Linked DNA regions of Saccharomyces cerevisiae S288C. The protein of the gene in region 2 purifies or fractionates together with the protein of the main gene of each other region. This does not show direct contact. Each region holds a gene or a part of one and is shown on either strand. Other genes may lie near its edges. The genes, in order: SHH4 and SDH3.

What was found.
Region 1: the proteins of SDH3 (region 2) and SHH4 purify together in Saccharomyces cerevisiae (affinity purification with western blotting; 2 studies listed by BioGRID). This does not show direct contact.

The regions. Positions count from the first base shown.
Region 1 is NC_001144.5:492,002-495,056, reverse strand, and holds SHH4 (protein SHH4), read right to left. Parts: upstream 1,175-3,055; coding exon 668-1,174; downstream 1-667. Other genes in the region: pseudouridine synthase PUS5, read left to right, coding at 1-563; MAS1 (mitochondrial processing peptidase), read left to right, coding at 1,803-3,055. UniProt on the Saccharomyces cerevisiae protein: Homolog of SDH4, but seems not to be a stoichiometric subunit of either the succinate dehydrogenase (SDH) complex or the mitochondrial inner membrane translocase TIM22 complex.
Region 2 is NC_001143.9:177,667-180,965, forward strand, and holds SDH3 (succinate dehydrogenase cytochrome b subunit SDH3), read left to right. Parts: upstream 1-2,000; coding exon 2,001-2,597; downstream 2,598-3,299. Other genes in the region: ribosome biogenesis protein LTV1, read left to right, coding at 1-506; MRP8 (Mrp8p), read left to right, coding at 849-1,508; TGL1 (sterol esterase), read left to right, coding at 3,113-3,299. UniProt on the Saccharomyces cerevisiae protein: Membrane-anchoring mono-heme cytochrome b subunit of succinate dehydrogenase (SDH) that is involved in system II of the mitochondrial electron transport chain and is responsible for transferring electrons from succinate to ubiquinone (coenzyme Q).

The DNA.
Region 1 (3,055 bases), on a different chromosome or scaffold from region 2:
ATAGGTTAGACCATTGTGTTACGGGGGGGATGCTGATTGCAAAGACTAAAGACGGAAGTGTAAAATTCTCTAGATTTTTACAAAAGGGCGGCAACAACGGTTATAAGTTGCAAAGAAAGTATGTAGCTATTGTCGAGTCGTCCGGTCGTTTCAACAAACCAAATAACTATGAAATTAAATATGGTCCTAAATATAATTTCTTGATTTCACATGGTGGTAGGGAGATTACTAAGTTCAAAGAAGTTGACGAAAATTGTATTGTTTTACAATTGGTTACAGGAAAAAAACATCAGATTCGAAATCACGTCTCTCAAATTTTAAATCAGCCCATATTAAACGACAAGAGACATGGCAGCACTGTCAATTTTCCAGAGTTGTTCAATGACCAAATAGCGTTGCATTCAGCGTGCATAATAACGAAAATTGGCCTGCAAACTAAAACGCACTTGATACCTATGGAACACAATAATACTGGCCAACTTTGGTCAAGAAAATACGTCAATGAAGAGGGTGAGTTCACTTTGCCCATAAAAGAAGTCCTGTTGGAAAACTGGGACCAGTAAAATAAGCAATAAATAATCGGTTATTAAATTATTTCTAATACACATATATAACGAGAATAAAAAAGGTAGTCACCACTAACCAAACCATATTGATTAATTGATGATTACTGCCTCTTTTTTTCCACAGGTTTGTTATCCCATAATGATTTTAAAGAGGCAATAAGACCAGCTTCTTGACTCTCTAATTTATATATACCGACGAACGATAAAAAGGAGCCCAAGCTCAATAAATACATCGCGTAATGATGTACCTTTCCATAGACTCTTTCAGAAATATAGTCTATAATGCAAGACTGAAATCCGATATGACAATGACCTAGCAGGACCAAGGAAAGAAATGTGTCGGTAAAAGTGGAAATAGGGCCTGTAGTGACCAAGGGAACTGCGATCAGCGGAAGAACCGCTAAGGACAGTCCGCGCTCGACAATCCAATGGTACGAACCCTGAGCTCTGCTTTCGGGCGGCATATAAGAGGAATCATTTGCGGTCCCACTCACACCTCCAGGTTTCTGTGGAATCTTTGGCAGAAAAGGAATGGTAAAGGATCTGGCAATTGAAGTATGAAAAGCCCTTATTCTGCAGAGTGGTTTCAAAAACTTAGTCGATGACATTCCTACTTTCCTAAGAATTGGGGCAACCTTTTTGAGAATCGTTGCTGATTCATTAGAACTGATAAACGGTCTGTCCACTGGGGACTGAAAATATATAGGTTTGCTTCTATGAAATTCGACGTCAAAATTAAGGGATACCTATGGCCAGCGCCCTTCAACTGACGATTTTTAGTTATCATACGCGTCCCTTATTATCTTAAACCGTAATAAAAAATCGTTACTTCGGATAAGGGTACTCCAATCTGGATGTGAGAGTCTGATAGTACCATGTTAGAGCCGCGTTGAAGGTGCGAATCAGGGTTTTATTCTCCTTAAACTTGATCCCGTCCAAAGGAGTTAAGAAGTAAAATGCACGGCTTTACTAAGACTATATTTACGTATTAAATTCCTCAACACGTAGTGAGGAAAGCTAAAATGCTGAGCTTAATTTCTCAGCCAACAATGGGTGATACTACTGTTCAGTGCACAGATTAGATGACCAATATTATTTTCACGTATTTAGTGATATTCGTAATCGAGCTGGACTCATCTCTTTAGTAATAAGAAGTGAATTTGAACGCTATGGATAAATCATGATATCTTGCTCTCAGGCATCAAACTAGTGCGCAAAGTGATAGGTGATCATACAATGTTTTCAAGAACAGCATCCAAGTTCCGTAATACACGGAGGCTTTTAAGTACAATTTCCTCACAAATTCCAGGAACCAGAACCTCTAAACTTCCTAATGGGTTGACAATTGCCACAGAGTACATCCCCAACACATCTTCGGCTACTGTTGGAATATTTGTCGATGCTGGTTCTAGGGCAGAAAACGTAAAAAACAATGGTACAGCGCATTTTCTAGAACACTTGGCTTTCAAGGGTACTCAGAATAGGTCACAACAAGGAATTGAATTGGAAATTGAAAATATCGGATCTCATTTGAATGCATATACATCAAGAGAAAACACAGTTTATTATGCTAAGTCCCTACAAGAAGATATCCCAAAGGCTGTTGATATTCTAAGTGATATTTTGACTAAGTCAGTTTTAGATAATAGTGCTATTGAGAGAGAAAGGGATGTCATCATCAGAGAAAGTGAAGAGGTGGACAAGATGTATGATGAAGTTGTTTTTGACCATCTTCATGAGATTACGTATAAGGACCAACCTTTAGGAAGAACCATTCTGGGTCCTATAAAAAACATAAAATCAATAACAAGAACTGATTTGAAAGACTATATAACCAAGAACTATAAAGGCGACAGAATGGTATTGGCAGGTGCGGGCGCTGTTGATCATGAAAAATTGGTACAGTATGCTCAAAAATACTTTGGCCATGTGCCCAAATCTGAATCGCCTGTCCCGTTGGGATCACCAAGGGGCCCATTACCAGTTTTTTGTAGAGGTGAAAGGTTTATCAAAGAAAACACGTTACCTACAACACATATTGCTATCGCATTAGAAGGCGTGTCATGGTCTGCACCTGATTATTTTGTAGCTCTGGCAACACAAGCGATTGTTGGTAACTGGGACAGAGCCATTGGCACAGGTACAAACTCCCCCTCTCCATTAGCTGTTGCAGCAAGTCAAAATGGTTCTTTGGCTAATTCTTATATGTCATTTTCCACCTCTTACGCTGATTCAGGTCTGTGGGGAATGTACATAGTAACTGATTCTAATGAGCATAACGTGCAGTTAATTGTTAATGAGATCCTGAAAGAGTGGAAGAGAATAAAATCTGGCAAAATATCGGATGCAGAGGTGAATAGGGCAAAAGCTCAGCTAAAGGCAGCTCTGTTGCTATCGTTGGATGGATCGACAGCCATTGTAGAAGATATAGGCAGACAAGTGGTGACCACAGGTAAAAGATTATCACCAGAAGAAGTTTTCGAGCAGGT
Region 2 (3,299 bases):
GTTTAGACAGTGTAAATCCCTCTGAAGAGGAAGATGTGCTGGGCGAATTGCCCTCTATCCAAGACAAAAGCAAGACGGGGAAGAAGAAAAGAAAGAGCCGTCAAAAAAAGGGTGCCATGTCAGATGTATCTGGATTTTCCATGAGTTCAAGTGCCATTGCGCGTACAGAGACGATGACAGTACTGGATGATCAGTACGATCAAATCATCAATGGTTACGAAAATTATGAGGAAGAACTAGAAGAGGACGAAGAACAAAATTACCAACCATTTGACATGTCAGCAGAAAGATCTGATTTTGAGTCAATGCTTGATGACTTTTTGGACAATTACGAACTGGAGAGTGGTGGCCGTAAACTGGCTAAGAAAGATAAAGAAATTGAAAGGCTGAAGGAAGCTGCTGATGAAGTAAGCAAAGGTAAACTGTCTCAGAGAAGAAATCGTGAAAGGCAAGAGAAAAAGAAACTTGAGAAGGTCACCAATACACTAAGCAGCTTAAAATTTTAGAGGAGTAGAATGAGATGAGAAAGCACCTACATTACAAGTACTGTGTAGACATGTATACTTAGCCTAGAATGCATTGATGCTAAAATACATCCTGCCCACCGGGTAATAATTATGAAACGCGGCGGTGCTCTTTGTGGATTTCGGAGAAAGGGGGTGGAGGAAGGAGGTCGATTTTCATTATTCAAATATTGTTTTAGTATAAAGAAAACCGGCGTGCATTGCTTCAAAGAGCCGTTCAAATTAGTAACCGTTTGAGATATCTTGTCTTACTACTCGTATTCCGCAGATAAAGTACATTTTAAGAAAGGAAGTAAATACACATAAATAAATAGCAGGAAGAAAATGTCTAACGAAATTGAATTACTGCAGAAGCAAGTCTCTGAATTACAAGACTTAGTGAAGAAGCAAAGTCTGATTATCTCTAAGACAGGAGAGCGTGTGCTGGAATTGCAGTTAGATAAACAAAAGCACGACGTAACTGATTTTGATTCGAAATTCTCTAAATCTATCTCGAAGAAATCAGGATCCGCTACTCAATTCGATGCCACTGATTTTGCCACAAATGAAGATCTAGTGGAATTAGTCAAAGAACTACAGGGTGAGCTAAATTTCATCGAGGAAAGGTCTATCAGAAGACTTGTTAACTCTTTGAAAAAAGATGATGATGACGTTATAGCGCCACTGCCTAATGCAGATGGTGATATTCCTGCTATTTCAGACGGAGTGTTCCCTAAGTCGTTGAAAGAATTTAAAGACATCCCAGACTTAAAACTGGTAAGACTTGCTAAATTCTACGAAAGATTGCCACCAACTCTAAAGGAACAAGAAGATTTTGAAAACTTCCTGGAAGGTAAGGTGGAAGCCTTTCACATTAATGAGACCACTGATGAAGAGATTTCTAAGGAGTTGGAAAAGTTCTCCAAAGATGAGCTAGATGATGCATTTAATGATGTTGCCCGCTATCTAGGTCTCTCCCTTAGAAGAGGAACCGAAATATGGTAAACAGAAAATGAAAAAAAATGAAAAATCAATGAATAAGAGGGCTTGAGTTCCAGGTTCTAGAAATTTCCCTCACTTATATATATATATATATCTATATACATATAGTTTTGAGTATATCATAACAGGATTCTCTTTCAATGAAACCTATGTTTTCCGCGGCATTGCAGTTAAAGGATGTTCTAGTGGTGAAAAAGAGAAGAAAAGAATTCAAAGTTTTCCTCCCATAAGTATACCTATACTTTTTATCTGTGATTGAAAGCTGTATACCAACAGCCTTCTATATATTACCTTGTATACCATTCAGTAGTCTTAAGCATCATCTAACTTTTGACCAGGTCCATTCTGATTGGCTGCGGTAGCCCGCTCCGTTTTCCGCTCTAAGCGTTTGGTACTTGTATAAATGTGCACTGGCATTATGATATCGAGATCCCCGCATAGAAATCTCAGGACCAACCAAAAATTGCCAATCACAAGCTCTAAGAATAATAAACGATGTCTGCAATGATGGTCAAGTTAGGACTGAATAAGTCGGCTCTATTACTGAAACCCTCCGCCTTTTCAAGAGCAGCTGCCTTGAGCTCCTCGAGGAGGCTGCTTTTTAATACAGCTAGAACAAACTTCCTTTCTACCTCACCATTGAAGAATGTGGCCAGTGAAATGAACACCAAAGCGGCAATTGCTGAAGAACAAATATTAAACAAGCAAAGAGCAAAGAGACCTATTTCTCCACATCTGACCATTTACCAGCCACAATTAACTTGGTACCTGTCTTCTCTTCACCGTATTTCGTTGGTGCTTATGGGACTAGGTTTCTACTTGTTTACTATACTCTTCGGAGTCTCTGGTTTATTAGGTCTTGGATTGACTACCGAAAAGGTTTCTAATTGGTACCATCAGAAGTTTTCCAAGATTACCGAATGGTCCATCAAGGGTTCCTTTGCTTACTTATTTGCAATTCACTATGGTGGCGCCATTAGACACTTGATCTGGGATACCGCTAAGGAATTGACATTGAAAGGCGTTTACAGAACTGGTTACGCTCTCATTGGTTTCACCGCCGTTCTCGGTACTTATTTATTAACTTTATGATTCTTTAAGGCGACGCACCTGTTTCTACACACAAATATATATATAGCCAATTTTATATATACGTTCCTATATATGACCCAATACCGCACTTATTTATTCTTTAAGATCTTTATAACCCAAAATGCCGATTAACACAAACCTATATTTACTAGGGGCACATTTTTTATTTTTTTGCCTTTCTGTAAAATACAATAGAGAAAATAAAGGAACAAACAAGAGGAAAAACAGGAAAAGATAGCGCAAGAGTAATCATATTCAACAAAATATCAGTGATTTTTTACAGATATCAAGATAATTTCTTTCCGGATACTTATTGAAGCTATTATTTGTTACTGGCAAGAAAAAGCAAACATAGGCGGTCATTTTTCTTTTGTATAAAGTAAATACAAGAAGAATTATTTTCGAGGAATAACTAGGTGTGCAGAGATATTAAGGAACAAGGAAAGAAGAAAGAAAACAATTCGAACAAAACTTTATTATTCTAGCACTATTTTAAAAAACTGTCTTTTGGCAAAATGTACTTCCCCTTTTTAGGCAGATTATCGATAACAGATTACATTATAGTCGTCTTGGTATACATAGAAAGCATTATTTCATCAGTCCTTAAACTTATACCACAACCAATGATTAACCTTTTCGAATGGCTAATAAATTTCTCAACGTCCTCCGATGACAATACCATCGAAGAAAAGTTAAGGTCAG